Linked DNA regions of Callithrix jacchus. The protein of the gene in region 1 binds, or shares a complex with, the protein of each later gene. Links are inferred from orthologs where the notes say so. Each region holds a gene or a part of one and is shown in the gene's direction. Other genes may lie near its edges. The genes, in order: KAT5, VPS72, ING3, BRD8, TRRAP, ANP32E and MORF4L1.

Region 1 (2,684 bases):
GTATTCAGGAAGGTCGATCTCTTAAAGCCAGAGGGACTCTGACCTTCATCACACATGGGCTCTTCATTGCCCTTCCCAACCCTGAGGCCCCCTTCTCCTTCCAAGCCTCTTACTCTCTGTCACCCCCCATTCTGTCTACCTTACCACTCACCAAACCCTTGGAATAACCAAGCTCCGACCTGGGTGACAGGAAGTACTAGCTGGTCTGGTGAAGACACAGAGGCTTTAATTGATCAAGGTTATGGTCCATTTGAGGAATTTTATTGGTTAAATGATGCCCAGATGGGGTCACATCTTCAGGAACTTCTCAGCCTGGTAGCACGAGTGGATGCTTGAAGAAACTCAGTCCAAGTCCGTCTTGGAGCTCAGACCGCAGTGGAGATGGGATGTGGGTGGGATCACCAGGGGGCTAAGGTCCATTATGAGGCTGGTTATAGCTGAGGGTGAGGAAGGGCTTCTAGTACTAACAAACATTCCAGGTCCCTGAATGGGGAGAATGAAGACCCTGCCAAAGAGATGTGAAGCCACTCAGGGCTATGCAGGGTCTGAGGATCTCACTGCTTCCCAGTGCTCACCTGTCTGCACGAGTCAGAGGGAGCGAGCCACTGTCAGGGTCAGTTACACTGGCTCTCAGGAATGGTCTCCCCGTCTTAGGAAGCACCTTGATGCACCTTCTCTCCTTGCATCCTCACAACCACCCAGTCAGGCCACACAGGTCTTAGAGCAGCTCACACTTCCAAGATCCCAGGTAGAAGGACTGATTTGACTGAGAATTCAAGCCTCCTCAGGCCTGGATCTGAGACGGGAATCAGTCCTTACTTCCTTCCTCACTGCCCAGACACCAAGCCTGGGATGGCAAAGGAAAATTGGAGGCACTTTCTTCCCCTGAGCCATTTTCTCTGCATCCCCTGCCTGTAAGCCTTCACCAGCTTTTGGTCTCCCTTGTGGTTGTTGCAGCTGTTCCTCTCAGTGCCCTCACACCCTCCACTGTGCTCAGCACACTGGGGAAGAGAGAATACACAACCATTAGTTCTTCCTGAGGGCACAGAACTGCCAAGTGGTGGGGCCACTATGGGAACTAGGCAGCCTGCCTTGGTGACCTGTGTTTTCAAATGTTGCTTATGTTCATCTGTGACATCTTACCCTCTCCTGCTCCATTGCTTTAGGCTATGAACTCTCCAAAGTGGAAGGGAAAACAGGGACCCCTGAGAAGCCCCTCTCAGACCTTGGCCTCCTGTCCTATCGAAGTTACTGGTCCCAAACCATCCTGGAGATCCTGATGGGGCTGAAGTCGGAGAGCGGGGAGAGGCCACAGATCACCATCAAGTGAGCCTGGCCCCACCTACCTGGGGGTGCATGGCATGGCCTGTCCCCGGGCTTTCTCACTCTCTCCTGGGGCTCCTGGGGACAGATGAAGGTTCTCAGGGGACCTGACCTTTGCCCTCCCACAGTGAGATCAGTGAAATCACCAGCATCAAGAAGGAGGATGTCATCTCCACTCTGCAGTACCTCAATCTCATCAACTACTACAAGGTAGGGAGGAAGGTAGGGGGAGACAGGTGTGTGGAATGCAGAGTGCAGGCCCCTGTGGGCTGACCACTTGCTGGTCCATTTCCTCTGCCCAGGGCCAGTACATCCTCACACTATCAGAGGACATCGTGGATGGGCATGAGCGGGCCATGCTCAAGCGGCTCCTGCGCATTGACTCCAAGTGTCTGCACTTCACTCCCAAGGACTGGAGCAAGAGGGGGAAGTGGTGACCAGGCACTGCCCACTGCAGTGGCAAGACAACAGCAGGACTGGGGCTGATAGCACGCCCCACCCTGTCCCCACTGCAACTCCCACAAAGCACTCTAAGGGAGTTGGGGCTGAGGACAGCTCCAAGAGGAGGGGACAGGCCTAGCAGGGGCCCACTGGTGCCCAGTACCAAGGCGAGCTCAGGGCTCAGGCCAACTCCAAGGTCAGCTGGCTACAGGCCCAGGCCTGCTCTGAACCAGGGACCAGAGGGAGCCAGGCAGCTGTGTACAGTGAGATGGGGGGTGGGGGAGCTCTGTACAGAGGGCTAGTATTGTAAAAATTTCTTTTGTAAAGTAGAAGTTGGGGGTGGGGTGGGTGCTGGCTGCAAAGGATTCTGGACTTTCTTATTCCCATTGCCCTGGCAATAAATTGTTTCTTTATGCCAGAGCCCTGCAAGGTTCTTGTGGGAAAGGGGCCCATGCTGGCTTAAGGCCTCTAAGGCGCGCAGACTCAGGTGCTGTGAAGAGCTCCTTTATTGGGGTGATGGAATCAGTGGCTCCAAAATGAAGAACTGGTTTACTGCTGTGAAGGAAGGGATCGTGGCTTTCAATTTCAAGCTCTGGTTCTCAGTCCTCGGGCACCTGTGCGTGAATCTGCAACAGGAGTCGCCTCTGCTGTTGGGCTTGTAAGACAGGGCGGCAGGCTGACCCCCACACCCGGGGAACCACCCAGCTGTTCAGAATAACCCCTTCAGGACATGCGGGGAGCCGCGCTTCCCATGCACTACACAGTAGAATCCTCCAGGCTCCGTCTGCCCTACTGTGCTCCTCAGCCCGTGTTCCAAAACTCCACCCAGGGCAAGATCCAGAAAGGGGGCTCCTTGTGTACTCACCGCTGCCGCGAGGCTGGGCCAAGTTAAGGCCCCACGCACTTTGGCATCCGGGCCA
Region 2 (4,110 bases), on another chromosome or scaffold:
AAAGAAAAAGAAAATGTGGCTGGGCGTGGTGGACCACGACTGTAATCCCAGCACTTTGGGAGGCCGAGGCAGGCAGATCACAAGGTCAGGAGATTGATACCATCGTTGCTAGCACAGCGAAACCCCGTCTCTACTAAAATTACAAAAAATTAGCCGGTCGTGGTGGCGCGCGCCTGTAGTCCCAGCTACTCGGGAGGCTGAGGTGGGAGGATTGCTTGAGCCCAAGAGTTCTGGGCTGTAGTGCACTATGCCGATCGGGTGTCCGCACTAAGTTCGGCATCAATATGGTGACCTCCAGGGAGCGGGGGACCACCCGGTTGCCTAAGGAGGGGTGAACTGGCCCAGCTCGGAAACAGAGCAGGTCAAAACTCCCTTGCTGATCAGTAGTGGGATCGTGCTGCACTCCAGCCTGGACAACATAGCAAGACCCCATCTCTTAAAAAATAAATAAATATAAATATAAAATAGGCCGGGTGCGGTGGTTCACACTTGTCATCCCAGCACTTTGGGAGTCCGAGGAGGGTGGATCACCTGAGGTCAGGAGTTCGAGACCAGCCTGGCCAACATAGTGAAATCCTGTCTCTACTAAACATGCAAAAATTAGCCGGGCGTGGTGGCGGGCGCCTGTAATCCCAGCTACTAGGGAGGCTGAGACAGGAGAATTGCTGGAACCGGGGATGTGGAGGTTGCAGTGAGCCAAGATCACGCCACCAAACTCTGCCTGGGAAACAGAGAGAGACTCGACATCAAAAAATAATAATAATGACAAACAGACACAAGAACAGAAATGAGAAAATACCGCATGTTCTCACTCATAGGCGGGTGTTGAACAATGAGAACACATGGACACAGGGAGGGGAGCACTACACACTGGGGTCTGTTGTGGGGAATAGGGGAGGGACGGCGGGGGATAGGGAGTTGGGGAGAGATAGCATAGGGAGAAATGCCAGATATAGGTGAAGGGAAGGAAGGCAGCAAATCACACTGCCACGTGTGTAACTATGCAACTATCTTGCATGTTCTTCACATGTACTCCAAAACCTAAAATGCAATTTAAAAAAAGAAAAATAAATAATAAAATAAATAAAATGTGTTGACTTAGGGTTGTGGGGGGCCATTGTGTCACCAAGTGGACTCATTGAGCAAGGCAGATTATTGGGTGCTAAGGCAAGCGGCTTGGAGGCTCCGCACAGGCATAGGACAGGCTGAAGAGTAAAGAGGATTTAGAGGCAGAGACTAGAAATCTCTCGACACTCTGCTACTTCTGCCTGTAAACGCCCAACTTCCGCCGCTGGCGGCCACCCGCAGGTAGTGGTGTTGAGCGTCGAGCTTCCAGAACCGCGCTGTTGAGGGGTCGCAGGTGGCCGCGAGGTCTAAGTAGACGGTATGAGTTTGGCTGGAGGCCGGGCCCCCCGGAAGACCGCTGGGAACCGGCTTTCGGGGCTTCTGGAGGCAGAGGAAGAAGATGAGTTCTACCAGACGACTTATGGGGGTTTCACAGAGGCAAGATCCGGGCCTGGGAAAAGGGAGGGGAGGAAGCGAAGAGGAGCCCTGAAGGACGCAACCCGGGATAAAGAAGAGGGCGGGGAGTAGAGAGGAGCTCTGGGAGCTGATATTCGAGATGGCTGGGTGAATCGGAGTGTGTGGGTGGGGGCGGGGGAGCGGATAGTTTGTGGAGGCCTAGAAGGGAGAGCTCTGGATGGGGTCAAAGGGGCCTGGGAGGGAGAAGCTCTCAGGAGGCACTATGGAGAACGGCGGAAACCTGCCGTGTACTTCTCTGGTTGCATCTCCCACTGTCCTACTGACGTCCAGCATATGCGAGGCACACGCAGTAGTCAGCTGCTCGGTGTGTACTCGTTGGCCTACTGCTGGGTTATTCATCGGAGACACGGGAAGGAACTGCTCCAAAGGTAGAGGAGCTTAGCCCACTCCTTTTTCAGCTTCAAGTCTCAGTGTACATGTTTTCTCCGAAAGATAACCCTTCCTTGACTATCCTGACAAGTGTCCCCATTTATTACCTTCACAGGACATAGTTCAGCTTGTAATTAGATTTGGTTTGCTTACTTGCTTATACTTTTCTATTGCGTTGTAAACTCTATAAAGTTAGAGACGGTCTGTTTTATTCAACATTATGCGTGAGGTGTCCGGACTGGGCTGCCACTTGCTGAATTTTTATTAGTTGAATCTACCTATTTATTAAATGTGTTGAGAACCCAGAGCATGCCATTGGTGATAGGTTGTGTTAGGCTCTGTTTTCTAGGGAAACAGAATATTAAAAACACTGTTCTGTCCTTACATACTCGATACCCCAGTGGGGTAACTGGCTGGGTTAACAGTCAGTTAAAATACTGTGTGATAGGCCTGTCGCGGTGGTTCACGCCTGTAATCTCAGCACTTTGGGAGGCCGAGGCGGGCGGATCACCTGAGGTCAGGAGATCTCGACCAGCCTGACCAACATGGTGAAACCCCATCTCTACTAAAAATAAAAAAATTAGCTGGGCATGGTGGCACGCACCTGTAATCCCAGCTACTTGGGAAACTGAGGCTGGAGAATCACTTGAACCCAGAAGGCAGAGGTTGCAGTGATCGGGGATCATGCCATTGCACTCCGGCCTGGGTGACAAGAATGAAACTCCATCTCAAAAAATAAATAAATAATAAATAGCCGGGCTCGGTGGCTCACGCCTGTAATCCCAGCACTTTGGGAGGCCGAGGTGGGTGGATCACGAGGTCAAGAGATTGAGACCATCCTGGTCAACATGGTGAAACCCCGTCTCTACTAAAAATACAAAAAACTAGCTGGGCACGGTGGCGCATGCCTGTAGTCCCAGCTACTCAGGAGGCTGAGGTAAGAGAATTGCCTGAACCCAGGAGGCAGAGGTTGCGGTGAGCCGAGATCTCACCATTGCACTCCAGCCTGGGTAACAATAGCAAAACTCCGTCTCAAATAAATAAATAAATAATAAATAAAGTTTAAAAAAAGTCTGGGTGTGGGTGGCTCACACTTGTAATCCCAGCACTTTGGGAGGCCGAGGTGGGCGGATCACCTGAGGTCAGGAGTTCTCGACCATCCTGACCAACATGGTGAAACCCCGTATCTACTAAAAATACAAAAATTAGCTGGATGTGGTGGTATGTGCCTGTAGTCCCAGCTACTTGGGAGGCTGAGGCAGGAGAATTGCTTGAACCCTGGAGGCAGAGGTTGCAGTGAGCTGAGATTGTGCCACTGCACTCCAGCCTGGCACCTGGTGACAGAGTGAGAGACTGTGTGTCAAAAAAAAAATACTGTGTGATAAGGACTAAAACAAGGGGTAAGATAGAGTGCAAAGGTAATACATGTGAGCCAAAGTTTTTAATCAGGATAGGCATCCCTGGAGAGATGATGTTTAAGCTGAGGAGTTTGAAAAGTAGGCCTTGGCTTGGTGAAAAGCAGGAGGAGAAAGGTTAGTCCACAGAGCAGGTTGGGTAGAGTAGGTAAAGTTGAGATCTTTGTCTGGGACCTGCAAGTCTACTCTCATCCTCCAGAGCATGAAGGAGACTAAATATTGATAAGCCTGGAGGGAGTAGGCATGGGCCACATCATTGGCGGCCTTGTGAGCCATGTTAAGGAGTTTTGCTCTTCATCCAGAGGACTGAGATGAGTCATCAGAGTTCCATGATGAAATTTGTTCCTTAGAAAGATTACTTATGGCTGGGCGAGGTGCCTCATGCCTGTAATCCCAGCACTTTGGGAGGCTGAGGTGGGCAGATCACCTGACGTTGGGAGTTAGAGACCAGTCTGACCAACACGGAGAAACCCCGTCTCTACTAAAGATATAAAATTAGCTGGGTGTGGTGGTACATGCATGTAATCCCAGCTACTCAGGAGGCTGAGGCAGAATCACTTGAACCTGGGAGGCTGAAGTTGTGAACGGAGATCGCACCACTGCACTCCAGCCTGGGCAACAAGAGCAAAACTTCATCTAAAAAAAAATAAATAAATAAAGATTACTTACTTTGTAATGAGAATGGCTAGAAGGGGGCATGGTGGTAAAGAAACAGAACCCACAGAATTTAGGGGCCCATCGCGATGGCTCATGCCTGTAATCCCAGCACTTTGGGAGTCCAGGA
Region 3 (3,500 bases), on another chromosome or scaffold:
ATAAAATTTTGCCAACTTAACTAGGGAAGTAGTATTATAAATAAAATAATTTTAACCAGACCTTTTGAGGAATGGAATTTTCTGATTAAAAACCCCTTTTGTTACTCTTCATGTAAATGTTTACAAGCATAATGGTTCACTTTCATGCCTAAGAGAAATAGATGTGTAGAAAACAGGAGCTTCTTTATAGACTAAGGATCTTTCATCATTCTAAATAATAGGTTTTATCATATGACAGTGTGGATGATGGCCTTATAAGTAGGAGGAGATTAGGCTTTAAGTAATAACAGGGCATACATTATGAAAAGTAAGCAGCCTCCACTCCCTCCTCCCATCTCTAACCCCTAATCTCAGTTTTTCTCTAATTTTCATGTCCTTACTTCTGAAAATGGAGTATAGAATATTTCCTAACAAGTTGAGAGTCCGGGTCTTAGAACTTAAAAATATTAAAGGAGACTTGGGAGATTACTAGCGTAGCACCCTCATTTTATAGATTAAAAACCTCTGAGGCATAGGTTAATTGACTTGCTTAAAGATACTAAGCAGATTCACTAAAAGAAACAAAGATTTAGGTTTCCTCATTAAACTGACACTTTAACAGTGTCCCAAATTTTGGTGGTTATCTTTGATCTTCTTTGAAACAGGTAGATCGACACTTGAGAAAGCTGGATCAGGAACTGGCTAAGTTTAAAATGGAGCTGGAAGCTGATAATGCTGGAATTACAGAAATATTAGAGAGGCGTAAGTAAAATTTACAGTTTTCCATCAATATTGGACAGTACATGTGCAAATCACTGAGAAGACGTTTGTCCCACAGAGGCTTTTCAAATCCTGCCCTTAAGTGAATGGTGGCATCTAGGCCAGATAGCTTGGACCCTAGCAGCTGGAAATGTTTGGGTCATGGATACTGAGAGAGATAATATAGGATACCATCCACTCACTTTTTATGAAATAGCATATTAAATCATTTTTATATCCTCATATCCTAGTAAGTTGAGTGGTAAGAACAAAAATTTAGAGAAACATAACCGTCGGGAGACAAATTATCTATCTTGCATTAAATGTGTTGACTTTACCCTGCCTCTTTATATACTTAAGCTTTGAGGAAGGTGGTTAGTTTCTCTTCATAAGAATTACTTTATGGCTTTTCCTTAACTGTATATACTGAAAAAGATCCAACTTGGTTTCATAACACTACCTCTTTTTCTTAAGGAAGTGTTTCCTTCTTTCGCTTATCAGCAAGAAACCATTTAAATATTTCTTTGCAAGGCTCTATTTGATCTCCTGCTATAACTTAACCCTGTCACTTCTTTTGGGAGGTATGACCTCCCAAAAATGGAAGCATGAACACTGGTTCCTTAACTAATTTAGCATTTCTTCTAACCTAAATAGGTAACGTACATAAAAGCAGTTAGTGTGGTACTAGGTGTAGAGTAGGCACTCACTAGATGTTAACTGAACCAAATTAGTATTATGGCTAATTTCTACTAGAGTTTAATTAAAACTTACAAACATATTTTTTCTTGGTGCATTTCAATAGCAGGAATACGTACCTGTTTCTACACACAGAGGAAAGGTTTCTTTATAGTGCCAATCTATGTATCTCTGTATAGTCACCATAAGTCAGCTAGGGAAGCCAATCACAAGTCTGTCTTGATATCCATAGTTCCATGTTTGTGTTCAAAAGTAGATCCATCACTTTAGATAACCATCCTATTTATTTGTGATACTTTTCTTCTTGAGGAACCCTATCTGAAGATTTAATAAGTATTTTGAGACAAAACTTAAAATTCTTTAGCTGCTTTGATTTTCTTTAAAATGCCGATGATAGCTGTGAGTAATGATAATTCATGCCTATTCAGTACTGCAGGAAGGTTAATAAAGCATCCTCTCTAAGGACACAGACATATGAAGCAAAATTGGATCAAGTTATAAAAAGTGCTCCACCCTGTGCCCTGCCATAATTTCATCTCAAGGGATCAAAAAATAAACCCAGAAAATTTCATTAGAGTTATTTTTAAGCTTGGTGTTATTCTTCTCACTTTTGCAAGCAAAATCCCTAACTACTTTTATGAAGTCTTTATTATCATAATGGCATTTTAATAATCAAATAATTTTTTTCATATAGTAATGTCCCCCATTACATAGAACTTTAGAATCTCCCTTTAAAAGGTCTTCAATTCAGTAAAACTAGGTTGGCTCTTACCAGTAATGAGATTACAATGTCCATTCATCCATTTATATGCACCCACTGTGGTAAATTCCCTAATTAGACACAAGTATGCCTTGAGCCATTTTGTACTTAAGATAAATATTGGGAAAAGAACTTATTGTTTAGAGAGAGGATAACTCAGTGTGGGATGGACAGTGGTGATCCTTTAACATGTCTGGCTAAAATGATACAGGCATATGCATCAGAACTTGCTAGTCCTCCTCTGGGTAAGGGAACTCATTGCCTGTAGTAGACTAACATGTGAAGTTCTGTGGTGACATTTAATAGTGGTGTATCTCTGTGCCTCTCTTTTAGGATCTTTGGAATTAGATACTCCTTCACAGCCAGTGAACAATCACCATGCTCATTCACATACTCCAGTGGAAAGTAAGTTTGGTGTAGTACAGCTAAGTTTTGAAAAACAATTAAAACCTTATTATATCACTTGTATATTCTCTTTTTTTTAACTTTATTCAACCAATTGAGGAAGAAATCCCTTCCTTTTTTTTTTTCATTGCAAGTACTGCAGACTATCTTTTTCCTTGTGGAAAGCTTATATGATTCAGAAATGAGTGTTCTGTTTTCTCTTAAATGTTCTCTCTTAAAGGGAGAATGTATGGTACTAATAGCATATATTCCTTCCCTACGCATACCTGATTCTCCTTAGGGAGCTTTACAATTGAGCCAGACAATAAACTGTTCTGTAATAGGCCCTTTTCTTTTTCATCCTTGCTTCTCCAGTGCTTAACCTAATGTTTGGCATGTAATTAAGTCTGAATGGCTACTAAGTTAGTGAGTGGATGAATTGTTAGATGACGGGCTGGCTAGTTGATATAGGAAAGGATAGTTGACTGAAAACTTTTCTAAGTGGTAAATAATGCTTTGAAAACAAAATTTTCCTCATATTGTATGGGAGGCCATGGTGCATGTTGGGTTATCTTTAGTACTTTGGTACTGAAGTTTTTTAAATGGCAGAGAAGTCTACTCTTAATAAACATGTAACACAGAGTTCTGCTTGCCCTGCCTTCTGAGGAAACATCATGTTCTGTATTTTAGAGGAACCCAGATCATACTGTTCCACGTTGTAACTGGATAGAAGTATTATATCTTGTCCATAGTTCTCTAAAGTTTAAAAACACGTGAATTCTTTATTTATTTAGAAAGGAAATATAATCCAACTTCTCACCATACAACAACAGATCATATTCCTGAAAAGAAGTTTAAATCTGAAGCTCTTCTATCCACCCTTACATCAGATGCCTCTAAGGAAAATACGCTAGGTAAGTTA
Region 4 (3,500 bases), on another chromosome or scaffold:
CTGAAGTGAATTACTTTTTTTTTTTTTTTGAGACAGCGTCTCACTCTGCTGCCAGGTGCCAGGCTGGAGTGCAGTGGCACAATCTCGGCTCACTGCAACCTCTGCCTCCCAGTTCAAGCAATTCTCCTGCCTTAGCCTCCTGAGTAGCTGGGACTACAGGTGCACACCACCAGGCCCAGCTAATTTTTGTATTTTCAGTAGAGACAGGGTTTCACCATGTTGGCCAGGATGGTCTTGATCTCTTGACCTCGTGATGCGCCCGCCTCGGCCTCCCAAAGTGCTGGGATTACAGGCTTGAGCCACCGCTCCCGGCCACGAATTACTTTTTAAAGCAGAAAAACATGGAGGCCAAGACCGGCAGATCACCTGAGGTTGGGAGTTCAAGACCAGCCTTACCAACATGGTGAAACCCCGTCTTTATTTTTTAAAAATAAAATAAAATTAAAAATAAAAACAAAGTTGCTTTTATCTGTGACTCCTGGCCTCAAGCGATTCTCCCGCCTCAGCCTCTCAAAGTGCTGAGATTACAGGCATGAGCCACTACACACAGCTAAGTAAGTTACTTTTACTCCGGTAATAAATAGTCTTTTTCTGGACAATGTCAGATCCACCTACTGAGAGAATATAGTATGAACTGTTTGTTTTTTCCATCACTATATCCCAGATCCACCCAGTTGTCTGTGGAAAGGCAAAACTAACAATTATTCTAATGTTTTTTCATTTAAGATATACAGCAGATATATAAATATATACCAGATAAATATATCTATTCATATATATCAGATAAATATATATTTATATATAACAGATAAATTTATATATAAATAACAGATAAATGTTATATATATAACTATATTGTATACAATATATACAGTTTGAACAGCAGATTTATCTGTTATTTATATATAATTTTATCTGTTATATATAAATATATAAATTTATCTGTTATATATAAATATAACAGATAACAAACTATATATATTATATATATATAGTTTGAACAGCAGATTTATCTATTTATTTTTCCCCGTAGAGACAGGGTCTTCCTTTGTTGCCCAGGCTGGGTTTTGAACTCTTGGCTTAAAGCAATCCCACCTCAACCTTCCAAAGTGCTGGGATTACAGGCCTGAGTCACTGTGCCCAGCCTAGATTTCAATTTTTGGTACACATATAGTTTAAAATGTAGATTGGTGAGGAATACCTTCATTTGCTTTTCTGTAACTCCTTAAGTATGAGCAATAGAGTGCTGACATGACACATTGTGACCGTACAAACAGCAGGAAATCTGCAATATGAGACATTTTATCTCATGATAGTTAATAGTCTTGGATGGTAAACTCTACATCCTTATCTTAGAATTTAGATTAAATATGAAATCTTTATTAGAAAGCAGTAGCTATCCAGCCTGAGCAACATAATGGGACCTTGTCTCTACAACAAATACTGAAATTAGCTGCAGGGTGTGGTGGCATGTGCCTGTAGTTCCAGCTACTTAGAGGCTAAGGCAGGGGGATCACTTGAACCCAGCAGGTTGAGGCTGCAGTGAGCCATGATCACACTACTGTACTCCAGCCTGGGCAACAGAACAAGACCCTCTATCAAAAAAAAAAAAAAAAATTGGCTGGGTGTGGTGGCTCGTGCCTGTAATCCCAGCACTTTGAAAGGCTGAGGTGGGTGGATCACTTGAGGCCAGGAGTTTGAGACTCGCCTGGCCAATGTGGCAAAACCCCGTCTCTATGAAAAATACAAAAATGAGTTGGGCATGGTGGTGCGTACCTGTACTCCTAGCTACTTGGGAGGCTGAGGCAGGAGAATCACTTGAACCGGGAGGTGGAGGTTGCAGTGAGCTGAGATCATGCCACTACACTCCAGTCTTGGCAACAGAGCAAGAATCAGTCTCAAGAAAATAAAATTTAAAAATTAAAAGAGAAAGCAATAGTTATTAATAGATATTAATAACTAAGTCTGCTTGGCCAGATAACTTAAGGAGAGATTTTTGAAAACTTCAGATAATTGGGTGCATGTCTTAAGAAAACCTCAGACCGGGCGCGGTGGCTCAAGCCTGTAATCCCAGCACTTTGGGAGGCCGAGGCGGGTGGATCACGAGGTCAAGAGATCGAGACCATCCTGGTCAATATGGTGAAACCCCGTCTCTACTAAAAATACAAAAAATTAGCTGGGCACGGTGGCGCGTGCCTATAATCCCAGCTACTCAGGAGGCTGAGGCAGGAGAATTGCCTGAACCCAGGAGGCGGAGGTTGCGGTGAGCCGAGATCGCGCCATTGCACTCCAGCCTGAGTAACAAGAGCGAAACTCCGTCTCAAAAAAGAAAAGAAAAGAAAACCTCATTACCCACCTGGGGAGACAGAATATTATTTGTGAAGTTACTGTCTCTTTTCTGTCATGTTTTATCCCATAGGACTGATCTAAGCCAGGATGACCCTGTTCAGGATCATTTGCTATTTAAGAAGACTCTCCTGCCAGTCTGGAAGATGATTGCCAGTCACAGGTAGGTCTCCAAAATGGTGATAGGATTATGTTCAGAACTGAAGCAGTAATACATATTGGGTTTTAAGCATAAAAAGAGATATGTTCATACCTCAAATGAGCCATAGTTGAAAGGTAGATTCTGTATCTAAGCCTGATTTATCCCAAAGTACTCACAGCTGCTTTAAGTCAGTACAAGAAATAGTTGCTGTGCCATTTGAATTGCCTCTAGAAATTGGTTCCTACTTCATGATAAAATTTGTATTTAAAATGTATATTCTTCTTTTCAATCTGGTGGATTCTCTTTTTTCACAGAGACAAGGCCTCAGGAACTTTGAACAAATTTCTGAGCCCTAAATCAGTATATTGTAATAATAGTTAAATATTTTATAGTTTTTTTTAAACTCTCTATCAAGAGGGAACAAATAGATTTCTTTCTAATGGTGCTCACATTCTGCATTCTGCAAAAGGAAGTCTACTAAGAACTGAGCTTCTCTTCTCTTTTAGAAAACCTTACCAGGGTTTCTTTATCCTCTCTGGGTTTGTCCCTTAACAGATTCAGCAGTCCATTTCTGAAGCCTGTGTCAGAAAGGCAGGCCCCAGGGTACAAGGATGTGGTAAAAAGGTCAGTGAAAAAGGGGTCGAGAAAGTTTGGTTGCTTTTATATCTGCCTTTTCATTTTTTATTTCCCATCTGTTATTTTTTATTACTTATAAACTCAAGATATGTTTTCATAGCCAAATAAGTTTATAAAGTTATGATGAGCTCAGTATTATATCCTTATTTGAGAAGGAATGCAGGGAACAAAAGGATGATATAGATTTATTTATTTATTTTATATTATTGACTTTTAAGTCATATGATCCATTTATCCATATCTATCTCTATTTATCTATGTGTATATATATATGTGTGTATGTGTGTGTGTATATATATATATATATATATATATTTTTTTTTTTTTTTTTTGAGATGGAGTTTTGCTCTTGTTGCTCAGGCTGGAGTACAATAGT
Region 5 (4,255 bases), on another chromosome or scaffold:
GATTGCACCACTGTACTCCAGCCTTTTTTGGTTTGTCATAAGGCTGCGCCATCTCATGTGCATTTTACACTGCGAATTCATCTCCATTCAGAGGGGCCACACCACACCCGGGGTTAGTGGCTGCTGAAGTGGAAAGCACAGCGCTACACTGTCTGGGTACAAATGCATCTGACCATCCCAAGAATCTTCTTCGTCCTCCTTTTTTTTTTTTTTGAGACAGAGTACAGAGTTTTGCTCTTTTTGCCCAAACTAGAGTGCAATGGCACAATCTCGGCTCACCTCAACCTCCGCCTCCCAGGTTCAAGCAATTCCTGCCTCAGCCTTCCAAGTAGCTGGGATTACAGGCATGTGCCATCATGCCTGGCTAATTTTTCTTTATTTAAATAAAAAATTTTTTTTTTTTTTTAAGTAGAGACAGGATTTCTTCCTGTTGGTCAGGCTGGTCTCGAACTGTTGACCTCAGGTGATCTCCCTGACTCAGCCTCCCAAAGTGCCGGGATTACAGGCGAGAGCCACTGCGCCTGGCCTGTTTTTTTGTTTTGTTTTTGAGACAGATTCTCTCCCTCTTGCCTAGTTTAGAGTGCAGTGTCACAATTGTAACTCATAGGTCACTGCAGCCTCTAACTCCTGGGCTCAAGTGATCCTCCCACCTCAGCCTCCCAGGCAGGTGGAACTACAAGCATGCACCACCATGCCCAGGTAATTTTTTTATTTTTGGTAGAGATAGAGCCTCATTATGTTTCCCAGGCTGGTCTTGAGCTCCTAGCCTCAAGTGATCCTCCCCCATCGGCCTCCCAAAGTACTGGGATTACAAGAATAAGCCACTGTGCCTGGCCTCAAGAGTCATTTTTTTTTTTTCCACAATTCTCCCAGTCTAGCCCATAGGGGCCACAAGTCCCTCTTACCAGAGTGACTCTGACCTTCCTCCAAGCATCCTCACCTACGCCATGTGTCTGCGTGCCTGCTACTTAGCATGTAGTTTAGTGCGAAGTAGATGCTTGTGGAATGGCTGAAAGGATGAGTCCTCAAGAACTTGATACTTCAAACTCCTGGCCTCAAGAGATCTGCCCGACTCCGCCTCCCAAAGTGTTGGGATTACAGGCGTGAGCCACCACACCTGGCTTATTGATCATTTTGACATTGACTATATGTTGAAATGATATTTTGAGTATATTGAGTTTTGTAACATTATTAAAATTGATTTCACTTCTTTTTCTTTTTTTGAAATGTGGCTACTTGAAAACTTAAAATTACATACACAGTATGTAGTTTGCAAAGCAGATGCTAAAAGTGGAATGGCTGAAAGAATAAGATGAGGCCTCCCTTTGATAACTCCCCCAAGGCCTTGAACATGACTCAGTGTTGGAAACCATTTGTCCGTGCCTCCTCTGCACTGACCTTGGACTGCTTTCGGAGATGCCATCTCATATAATCATGCAGCAGCACAGAGGGGACATTCTCTCCCCTGGCGCGGTGAGCGTCGGTCACAATAGACACTGAGGGCAGCCTTAACAAAGGATGCCTCGGGCCAAACGTCCAGAACAGCAGCCACAGGTAAGGGTCTGGGGCCCGGGGACAGATCAGACGTTGTGAACAGTCAAATCTCATTCGCCTGGCTCTGGTGGTGGGACCTGTTTTGGTTAATTACATTTTTCTGGGTAATGGAAAGCTCACACTCCTTTGGAGTCAGTTCTTGTTGGTGAAAGTCTTTCTAAAGCAAGTTAGTGTTAGTTGGTCTGTTGGCCCTAGCAAGGTGGTATAATAGAATCTTCTTTGGTCATTCAAGGGCAGCAGCCCTAGGGTCCGTATTCCTACCACACATCCTCATTGTCCTGCGTTGGAAATTGACTATGGGCTGAGGGGGCTGCTGGGCAGGTAACAACGACTCAGAATCAGCTCCTGGGAGATGCATTTGGGGCTAAATCCTGGAGTAGCTTGGAGGGAGCAAAATGAGTTCAGGGATATCCCTTTTTTTTTTTTTTTTGAGACAGTCTCGCTCTGTTGCCCAGGCTGGAGTGCAGTGGCACCATCTTGGCTCACTGCAACCTCCACCTCCTGGGTTCAAGCTATTCTCCTATCTTAGCCTCCCAAGTACCTGGGATTACAGGTGCCCACCACCACGCCTGGCTAATTTTTGCATTTTTAGTAGAGATGGAATTTCACCATGTTGGCCAGGCTGCTCTCAAACTCCTAACATTGTGATCCACCTGCCTTGGTCTCCCAAAGTGCTGGGATTACAGCCGTGAGCCACCACACCCAGCTAGGCCTCCCACTTTCTTGGGGTAGTGGTGGTAGGACCACAGCAGATTTTGCTCACAAATAGGCAACCTCTTCCGTGATGGAAGGGCTATTCTGAAGCATTTTGTTTCTCCTGGGGCAGAATTAATTGCTGCTAAAAACATCCACTTACAATCCCAACATTTCAGCTGTGGCCTTGCTCTTGAGTGGCAACGTTAAACAAGCAAGGAGCTTCAGAAAAAGAGCACCTCTCCTCCAGAGTATCCATGGGCACTGCAACAGTTATTATCGCAGGGTAGGAAATGTATGTCTGAGAAGGGAACATAATGATCTTGGTGGGTTAGTGATGTGGGGGGGTAGGCGCAGGAAGGTGGAACCAGGGCCTGGAGGTGGCCAAGTTCAGGTCATGTTTCCATGCTCTGTCCCTGTAACATGTCCTGTGTCCCTGTAGCAACCATAGTTCCTGACGGTACGTTTCCCTTCGAGACGCCTTTTGGTCTGGCCCGTGCCACCTCCCTTGGCTCCATCCCCCCTCTATCCCTTCATTACTGGGGCCTGGCCTGAAACTTATTTAAAAAAAAAAAAATCTCCATCAAGTTTTGATGGAGGTAGATCTGCCCGACAGGTGGATCCAGCCTCGGCGGAAAAGCAGCTGGAGAACCAATGAGACCCTTCTGCACCTGGGCAGCCAACTCCAGGAAGCACACCCGGACTTTATTTTGCTAATAGGGTCTCAGTCCGTCACCAGCCTTACCTTCCCAAAGACCCTCCTGGCCTTCTCTCCCTGCTGCGGGATGAGAAGGACCCCAGGAGGGGAGCGGGGAGTAGGGGTGGCAAACTCTGCCCTGCTTGCCACCTTCAGTCCAGTGGTAGACGATACCTGGGCCCCATCGCTGCCAACTCGGGAAAGCCCTCCCAACTTGCCCACGGCCCCCAGGATCCCCGAGCACTCCCCGCGGCCTGACTTCTGGGAGTAGACTTAGGGGCCGATGAAGCCCCTAGAACCTGGGCGCTGGCCTGGCCCGATCACGGCTGGCGGGGGGTTAAAGGGCCGGGGCCCACCGAGATGGTGGACGCCCCTCCCCGCGCCCGCGCCCGCCCAGGCCGCACCCACTTGGGGGCGGTACGCCGGGGCCTGGTGCACGGTCGGCGGGCGCGGCCGCTTTAAGCGGGGGCGGGACTGCGCGCGGCGGAGCGGCGGCGGCGAGGGTTCGGCTGGGGGTTGCAGGGGTCGCGGGCCGGGCCTGCTGCAGCCGGGTCGCCAAGGTCGGGGTAAGTTGGGGGGCGGGTGTCTGAACGGCCCCGGGAGGTGCGCTCGGCCCCCGGGCATGGGGAGGCCTCTGCAGTGCGGCTGCTCGGCGGAGGGAGGGAGTGGGGGGGCTCCGAGCGCCCCGGGGTTCCTTAGGCCTCCGCCAGGGTCCACCGGGGGCTGCAGGGACTACGGCGTTCGCGGCCGAGCTGAGAGGAAGCCGTAGGAGGCGCAGCACTCGCGGGTGCGGGAATTGGCGCTCGGCGCTCGCCGTAGCTCGGTTTGGGACGCGGTCGCGTTGAGCCCGGGACTGCGACAAAAGGAAGGAACCAGAGGGCCGTTTGTGAGCTGAGAGGTCGGGTGGGACGTTGCGGGGGGGGGTCCCTTTTCTCGGGAGGCGCCCCCCGGCCAACCTGGCACCTCCGGGCCTCCACGCAGGCACCGGACTGGTTAGGCCCGGCTCGGGGAGCGAAGGTTGCGGTGACCACAGCGCCCCCTCTGGCCCGGCGGCGCCGCCTCAGGCCGGGTTTGGCGGGGTCGGGGCGGGGGATTGGGAGGGGCGGCGGGGCCGTTCGTCCCCGGGAGAGGGAGCTGCGCGTCGCCGGCCCGGCCTGGGCCCTCGGCACCCGGCAACCGGCACCCGGGGTGGCGAAGCCGCTTTCTCGCAGACACGCGGAATGGGGGCGTTTCTCCCTAGCCAGGGCCCCTAGGCTCTGTGGGACCCTCGAAAATGAAGAGTTGACGACTTCTGTGGGAAGGGGGAAGTTT
Region 6 (3,500 bases), on another chromosome or scaffold:
TGCCATTGCCCTCCAGCTTGGGTAACCAGTGAAACTCCGTCTCAAAAAAAAAAAAAGTGATTAAACAGTTTCTTCTTCTTTATTCTTCTTCTTCTTTTTTTTTTTTTTTGGTGAGACAGAGTCTTAATCGTCACCAAAGTTGGAGTGCAGTGGCATGACCTCGACTCACTGCAACCTCTGCCGCCCAGGTTCAAGTGATTCTCCTGCCTCAGCCTCCTGAATAGCTGGGATTACAGGTGCCTGCCATCAAGCCCAGCCGATTTTTGTATTTTTAGTAGAAACAGGATTTCGCTATGTTGGCCAGGCTTGTCTTGAACTCCTAACCTCAAGTGATCCACCTGCCTCCGCCTCCTGAAGAGCTGGGATTACAGGTGGAGCCATCGCACCCGGCCCTTTGTAGGTTTTAGGGCAACTCATTTAAATCTTTTCCTGGTAGCTCAAGTTCCCCCTCCTTGCATAAATATATTCCCTGATGTTGAGGGTCTTCTTCATCAGGGTCAGAACAGGTTTCACATGAGAACTTCTTTTTTTTTTTTTTTTTTTTTTCTGAGATGGAGTTTCACTGTTGTCACCCAGACTGGAGTGCAATGGCACGATCTCGGCTCACTGCAACCTCCGCCTCCTGGGTTCAAGCAATTCTCCTGCCTCAGTCTCCCGGTTAGCTGGGACTACAGGCACGCACCACCATGCCCAGCTAATTTTTGTATTTTTAGTAGAGATGGGGTTTTACCATGTTGACCAGGATGGTCTGGATCTCTTGACCTCGTGATCCACCCACCTCGGCCTCCCAAAGTGCTGGGATTATAGGCATGAACCACCATGCCCAGCCCAAAGTTTGTTTCTTATGCATCAGTGATTTGAAGCAGATATTGAACTTTAGTCCAAGTTTAAATTTAAAAGATGGCTGGGTGCGGTGCCTCATGTCTGTAATCCCAGCACTTTGGGAGGCCGAGGCAGGTAGATCACGAGGTCAGAAGATCAAGACCATCCTGGCCAACATGGTGAAAACCCGTCTCTACTAAAAATGCAAAAAAAGTTAGCTGGGTATGGTGGCACGCACCTGTAGTCCCAGCTACTTGGGAGGCTGAGGCAGAGAATTGCCTGAACCAAGGAGGCGGAGATGGCAGTGAGCCAAAATCGCTCTATTGCAATTGCACTACAGCCTGGGCAACAGTGTGATATTCCATCTCAAAAAAAAAAAACATACAAAAAAAGAAGTTTAAAAGATTACCTGGGCTGGGCACAGTGGCTCAAGCCTATAATCCCGGCACTTTGGGGGGCCAAGGCGGGTGGATCACAAGGTCAAGAGATTGAGACCATCCTGGTCAACATGGTGAAACCCCGTCTCTACTAAAAATATAAAAAATTAGCTGGGCATGGTGGCGCGTGCCTGTAATCCCAGCTACTCAGGAGGCTGAGGCAGGAGAATTGCCTGAACCCAGGAGGTGGAGGTTGCGGTGAGCCAAGATCACGCCATTGCACTCCAGCCTGGGTAACAAGAGCGAAACTCCGTCTCAAAAAAAAAAAAAAAAGATTACTTATAGTGATGACTTAAGATTGAATATTAGTTTTGGGGGAAGATGAAAAGGCTCTGTGTAAGGGGATTGATGGGGTTTTGTTGTGTTGCGTTTTGTTTTAACTAATGGGCGATCAAACTGGAGATTGGTGGTTTCCAGTGTCTCAAGACCCAAGTCTATAGCTAAAAAGATTACAAACGAAAGAATCATTAATTAATGTGTTCCCTCTTACAGGTGACAGAGTTAGTCCTTGATAATTGCCTGTGTGTCAATGGGGAAATTGAAGGCCTGAATGATACTTTCAAAGAACTAGAATTTCTGAGTATGGCTAATGTGGAACTGAGTTCACTGGCCCGGCTTCCCAGCTTAAATAAACTTCGAAAAGTAAGTTGGCGTTTACGGGAAGCATCATGATTTCAAAGCCATGACTATTATGTCTAGTGTTTAGCCAAATTGAATGACCATTCTGCTTGCTAATTAGAAGTTTTTAAGTTTCTAGAGATAAGAAAACATTATATAGGATTTTGTGCGTCAACTCTAATATGCTTTCATTCATTCATTTATTCCTTTGTTTATTTGAGATGGAGTCTCACTCTGTCACCCAGGCTGGTGTGCAGTGGGGTGATCTTGACTCACTGTAACCTCCATTTCCGAAGTTCAAGCAATTCTCCTGCCTCAGACTCCCAGGGAGCTGGGATTACAGGTGCTCGCCACCAAACCTGACTAATTTTTGTATTTTTAGTAGAGATGGGGTTTCACCATGTTGGCCAAGCTGGTCTTGAACTCCTGACCTTGTGATCTGCCCACCTTGACATCCCAAACTGCTGGGATTACATGTGTGAGCCACTGTGCCCGGCCTTATTTATTCATTTATTTTTGAGACAGGGTCTTACTCTGCTCCCCAGGCTGGAGTGCTGTGGTGTGATCTCAGCTCACTTGAACCTCTGCCTCTCAGCCTCAAGCATACTCCCACCTCAGCCTCCCCAGTAGCTGAGACTAAAGGCATGTGCCATCACACCTGGCTAATTTTTGTGGTTTTTTGTAGTGACAGGGTTTCACCATGTTGTCCAGGCTGGTCTTGAACTCCTTGGTTCAAGTGATTCTCTTGCCTTGGCCTGCCACAGTGCTGGGATTACAGGTGTGAGCCACTCTGCCCGGCCTAGAAATTTAAATCTAATGGTGGAATTGCCTTATAACACAAATTTGAATTTAATCAAATATTTTTCTCACATCATGAAATCCAAATGTAGTACAACTAGAATCCAGGCAGGGTTAGGAGCCCATTATGTAGATGTTCTAATACATTGTTTGGCAGATATAGGTAGGAATTTGGAAATTAACGATCTGTAGTGATCATTTCTTGAAGCCAGAGAGAATGACTTTTTTTTTTTTTTGCTTTAAATTGATATACTTTAAAAATATTTGATACGCCAGGCTCGGTGGCTCACGCTTGTAATCCCAGCACTTTGGGAGGCCGAGGCAGGTGGATCACTTGAGGTCAGGAGTTCAAGACTAGCCTGGCCAACTTGGTGAAACCCTGTCTCTACTAAAAATATAAAAATTAGCTGGGCCTGGTGGCGGGAGCTGTAATTCCAGCTACTCGGGAGGCTGAGGCAGGAGAATTGCTTGAACCCAGGAGGTGGAGATTGCAGTGAGTGGAGACTGTACCACCGCACTCCAGCCTGGGTGACAGAGTGAGACTCTGCCTCAAAAAAAAAACAACAAAAAAAAACTCTGACATGCTACGTTTACTATTCTTTGTTTTTTTCCTGTGTTGAATATATAGTTGGAGCTTAGTGACAATATAATTTCTGGAGGCTTAGAAGTCCTGGCAGAGAAATGTCCAAATCTTACCTACCTCAATCTGAGTGGAAACAAAATAAAAGATCTCAGTACAGTAGAAGCTCTGGTAAGTGGAACGGTTTTGTCTCTGGGCTTGCTTTTTCTGGTTAAATTTTCTGAGATTTGTTTGTCTTACTGATT
Region 7 (3,500 bases), on another chromosome or scaffold:
CAGGGTTTCACCACGTTGGCCAGGGTAGTGTTTATCTCTTGACCACGTGATCTGCCCATCCCAGCCTCCCAAAGTGCTGGAATTACAGGCATAAGCCACTGCAGCCAGCCTAGAATTTTTTTTTTTTTAGACAGTTTCGCTCTTGTTACCCAGGCTGGAGTGCAATGGCGTGATCTTGGCTCACTGCAGCCTCCACCTCCTGGGTTCAGGCAATTCTGCCTCGGCCTCCTGAGTAGCTGGGTTTACAGGCACGCGGCACCATGCCCAGCTAATTTTTTTGTATTTTTAGTAGAGACGGGATTTCACCATGTTGACCAAGATGGTCTCGATCTCTTGACCTCGTGATCCACCTGCCTTGGCCTCCCAAAGTGCTGGGATTACAGGCGTGAACCACTGCGCCCGGCCTGGCCTAGAATTTTAATTTCTAACTGGCATAGTTTATATCTGAAGCTAAAAGTAGTAGAATCTGAAAATAGGCATTTTGGGGCAGTTTTTGAAAACTATTAGAAATCAGTATGTTTACTTTTATGAGTTCAAGATGGGTCTTTAAGATGGTTGTGTTAGGAACAGTTGTTTTGATGTCAGTGGTAAATATGAAAATACTAAGTTAAAACGTATCAAGTCTCAGGGTATTTCATTTCCTGAACAACAGGAACTTAAGAATTTTTACCTTAAGTGATAGTGTACTATCACTTATTTCATTTCCTGAACAACAGGAACTTAAGAATTTTTACCTTAAGTGATAGTGTACTAAATAGACTATGGTTCAAGGTCAGATTCTTTTCTCCCAGCAGCAAAGCTGTGTATGGTCTTTTTCATTTACAGTTTTTAAAAATGACAGTTCAGCTGTATGCTTAGCTACTTTGAGAATTTATACCTAGTGCCTTTAAAAGTCAACTCCCTTCCATGTTTGGTATTTAGCAAGAAAGGATAGGGGTTTTGTTTTCTTTTGTTTTATTTTTTGAGATGGTGTCTTACTCTATTGCCCAGACTGGTGTGCAGTGGCGTGATAAAGGTAGGTTTTTAAATACTCTTCTATTTCTGTATAGGAGGAAACATTCATGAACAGAGTTGAAGTTAAAGTAAAGATTCCTGAAGAACTAAAACCATGGCTTGTTGATGACTGGGACTTAATTACCAGGCAAAAGCAGGTAAATTGCTAGCTAATGTGATACATTGTTGCTAGCAAAAAAAAAAAAAAAAAAAGCTTTTATGACTTTGTGATGATAAAGGTGTCAATAACACTTTGGCGATTGCTAGGGCAGGAAGTAATTCTGAAAATAGGTAAAGGCAAAGCAGCATGTGTTTACTGTCTTCATCCCTGCTAATGGTAGGCCATAGAAAGCACCTGTCACCACCTGCAAGATATTCATGACCCTGAAAAGAACCTGAATCTAAGCTCCTGGGTCTGTTACTAGTTTGCAGGAAATAGGATGTTTAATGGAGCGACATGTTTATCCATCATTGAACTCTATAATTGAGAATTTTGTGGGACAAATGAAGCTCTTTAAACAAATGGCATAGGTAGTGTTAGGGATGGTGGGGGGCAGATGATTAGGGACTGCTTGAGGATTATGAGACTTAAAACATATCAGTCATATACAACATACGGACATAGTTTGAATTCTGATTTGAATCCGTTGGAGGATTATGCAGTTACAGCTAAACTGCGAAGATTCAAGCCGTGGCTGTATCACTTACTGTTTGTGAGCTTGGACAAGTTTCTTAGCTTTTTTTGTGCTTTTGTTTCTGCATTTAATGGAATAATAATTCCTATTTGACAATGTCGATGAGAGGATAAAACGATAACTATTTTAATGCTTTAGACTAGGTCTAGCAAATAATATGTATAACAGTAAATGAGTTGGTAATACCACAGAGGCACATTTGTGTCTGTTTTGTGTGTCTAACAGTTTGATATTTTTAAAAGCTGTGCTGTTCTGTCCAGTACAGCCTCACTGGCCACATTTGGCTGTTTAAATAAATAGATGCTCCATAACTTAGAATGGGATTACATCCCAATAGGCCCAGCAGAGAGTTGGAAAATTAAGTCAAACCATTGTAAGTTGGAAACTGTTTGTAATTAAATTTTTATTGTATAAAAATTTTCCCGGTGTAATTTTTTTTAAAAAAAAAGAGTGCTTATATTCAAGCATGTTTTTGTTTTGATAGCTCTTTTATCTTCCTGCCAAGAAGAATGTGGATTCCATTCTTGAGGATTATGCAAATTACAAGAAATCTCGTGGAAACACAGATAATAAGTAAGAATATACACCTTTCAAATACACTCAAAAGACATTCTAAAAAAAATGTGTTTCTAAATAAATCATCTGAAACTTGTACTGACTCTGAAACATATCACCAAAAAGTAGCAAAATAGAATTTCACTGCTTTGACATAGGAGTTGGCTGATCGACTTTTTCTTAAAGGGCCAGATAGTAAATATTTTAGGCACAGTTTAAACTATCATGTAAATATTTGCATAACCATATGAAAATGTAAGTTTGTCAAACGCTGCTTTCATGTGCCTTTTTAAAAAAAAATCTCAGCTGTGGGTTCATTTTTACTAGCTCAACTCTTAATTCTTTAAATTGGTTGATTAAATTATTCTCTATCTCAGTTCTTTTCATTGACCAGTTTTGGAATATTTCTGTTCATTTATCAGGGAGTATGCGGTTAATGAAGTTGTGGCAGGGATAAAAGAATACTTCAATGTAATGTTGGGTACCCAGCTACTCTACAAATTTGAGAGACCACAGTATGCTGAAATTCTTGCAGATCACCCTGATGCACCCATGTCCCAGGTGTATGGAGCGCCACATCTACTGAGACTATTTGGTAATAATGCCATGTTGAAAATAATTTTGCTTTTGGGGGGAGGGTCTTCCCTAAATGAATATGAGATAATTAACTTTCCAAAACATGACTCCATTTTAATTTGAACTTTGATCTAGAATGTTAAATAGCAAAAGAATCTTTAAGAGCAAGAGTTTTAAAAATCATGTATTTCTATTTTATTATTATTTTTGAGACGGAGTCTCACTCTGTCGCCCAGGCTGGAGTGCAGTAACTTCCGCCTGCCGTTTCAAGTGATTCTCCTGCTTCAGCCTCCCAGATAGCTGGGATTACAGTGCCCACTACCACACTCAGCTGATTTTTGTATTTTTAGTAGAAATGGGGTTTCGCCATGTTGGCCAGAGTGGTCTGGCACTCCTGAGCTCAAGTGATCGCCTACCTTGGCCTCCCAAAATGCTGGGATTACAGGCATGAGCCACTGTGTTCGGCCTAAAATAATGTATTTTAAAGGAATTTGCATTTGCTCACATAATTAAAATACATGGTTAAAGTGCTGCTGCCTTGGATGTAACTTTCGATAATTCCTCTTGTTTAAACAGTACGAATTGGAGCAATGTTGGCCTATACACCTCTGGATGAGAAGAGCCTTGCTTTATTACTGAATTATCTTCACGATTTCCTAAAGTAAGTCTATGCTTGGTAGT

What was found.
Region 2: KAT5 (region 1) and VPS72 share a complex: the UniProt entries of both Homo sapiens proteins name them as parts of the nuA4 histone acetyltransferase complex. The link is inferred for Callithrix jacchus from reciprocal best matches to the Homo sapiens genes KAT5 and VPS72.
Region 3: KAT5 (region 1) and ING3 share a complex: the UniProt entries of both Homo sapiens proteins name them as parts of the SWR1-like complex. The link is inferred for Callithrix jacchus from reciprocal best matches to the Homo sapiens genes KAT5 and ING3.
Region 4: KAT5 (region 1) and BRD8 share a complex: the UniProt entries of both Homo sapiens proteins name them as parts of the SWR1-like complex. The link is inferred for Callithrix jacchus from reciprocal best matches to the Homo sapiens genes KAT5 and BRD8.
Region 5: KAT5 (region 1) and TRRAP share a complex: the UniProt entries of both Homo sapiens proteins name them as parts of the SWR1-like complex. The link is inferred for Callithrix jacchus from reciprocal best matches to the Homo sapiens genes KAT5 and TRRAP.
Region 6: KAT5 (region 1) and ANP32E share a complex: the UniProt entries of both Homo sapiens proteins name them as parts of the SWR1-like complex. The link is inferred for Callithrix jacchus from reciprocal best matches to the Homo sapiens genes KAT5 and ANP32E.
Region 7: KAT5 (region 1) and MORF4L1 share a complex: the UniProt entries of both Homo sapiens proteins name them as parts of the nuA4 histone acetyltransferase complex. The link is inferred for Callithrix jacchus from reciprocal best matches to the Homo sapiens genes KAT5 and MORF4L1.

The regions. Positions count from the first base shown.
Region 1 is NC_133511.1:122,810,577-122,813,260, forward strand, and holds the end of KAT5 (histone acetyltransferase KAT5), read left to right. Parts: intron 1-233; exon of another isoform or gene 234-463; coding exon of another isoform or gene 464-505; exon of another isoform or gene 506-827; coding exon of another isoform or gene 828-1,001; exon of another isoform or gene 1,002-1,166; coding exon 1,167-1,326; exon of another isoform or gene 1,327-1,451; coding exon 1,452-1,533; exon of another isoform or gene 1,534-1,625; coding exon 1,626-1,760; 3' UTR 1,761-2,184; downstream 2,185-2,684. Other genes in the region: RNASEH2C (ribonuclease H2 subunit C), read right to left, coding at 828-1,001, 2,630-2,684. UniProt on the Homo sapiens protein: Catalytic subunit of the NuA4 histone acetyltransferase complex, a multiprotein complex involved in transcriptional activation of select genes principally by acetylation of nucleosomal histones H2A and H4.
Region 2 is NC_133519.1:11,082,130-11,086,239, reverse strand, and holds the start of VPS72 (vacuolar protein sorting-associated protein 72 homolog), read left to right. Parts: upstream 1-1,310; 5' UTR 1,311-1,386; coding exon 1,387-1,503; intron 1,504-4,110. UniProt on the Homo sapiens protein: Deposition-and-exchange histone chaperone specific for H2AZ1, specifically chaperones H2AZ1 and deposits it into nucleosomes.
Region 3 is NC_133512.1:126,145,823-126,149,322, reverse strand, and holds part of ING3 (inhibitor of growth protein 3), read left to right. Parts: intron 1-644; coding exon 645-741; intron 742-2,527; coding exon 2,528-2,599; intron 2,600-3,372; coding exon 3,373-3,492; intron 3,493-3,500. UniProt on the Homo sapiens protein: Component of the NuA4 histone acetyltransferase (HAT) complex which is involved in transcriptional activation of select genes principally by acetylation of nucleosomal histones H4 and H2A.
Region 4 is NC_133503.1:36,552,337-36,555,836, reverse strand, and holds part of BRD8 (bromodomain-containing protein 8), read left to right. Parts: intron 1-2,419; coding exon 2,420-2,509; intron 2,510-3,043; coding exon 3,044-3,112; intron 3,113-3,500. UniProt on the Homo sapiens protein: May act as a coactivator during transcriptional activation by hormone-activated nuclear receptors (NR). Isoform 2 stimulates transcriptional activation by AR/DHTR, ESR1/NR3A1, RXRA/NR2B1 and THRB/ERBA2.
Region 5 is NC_133503.1:14,714,028-14,718,282, reverse strand, and holds the start of TRRAP (transformation/transcription domain-associated protein), read left to right. Parts: upstream 1-1,455; 5' UTR 1,456-1,554; intron 1,555-3,404; exon of another isoform or gene 3,405-3,510; intron 3,511-4,255. UniProt on the Homo sapiens protein: Adapter protein, which is found in various multiprotein chromatin complexes with histone acetyltransferase activity (HAT), which gives a specific tag for epigenetic transcription activation.
Region 6 is NC_133519.1:10,155,253-10,158,752, reverse strand, and holds part of ANP32E (acidic leucine-rich nuclear phosphoprotein 32 family member E), read left to right. Parts: intron 1-1,751; coding exon 1,752-1,901; intron 1,902-3,303; coding exon 3,304-3,426; intron 3,427-3,500. UniProt on the Homo sapiens protein: Histone chaperone that specifically mediates the genome-wide removal of histone H2A.Z/H2AZ1 from the nucleosome: removes H2A.Z/H2AZ1 from its normal sites of deposition, especially from enhancer and insulator regions.
Region 7 is NC_133507.1:29,178,285-29,181,784, reverse strand, and holds part of MORF4L1 (mortality factor 4-like protein 1), read left to right. Parts: intron 1-1,049; coding exon 1,050-1,151; intron 1,152-2,172; coding exon 2,173-2,261; intron 2,262-2,665; coding exon 2,666-2,838; intron 2,839-3,395; coding exon 3,396-3,480; intron 3,481-3,500. UniProt on the Homo sapiens protein: Component of the NuA4 histone acetyltransferase (HAT) complex which is involved in transcriptional activation of select genes principally by acetylation of nucleosomal histones H4 and H2A.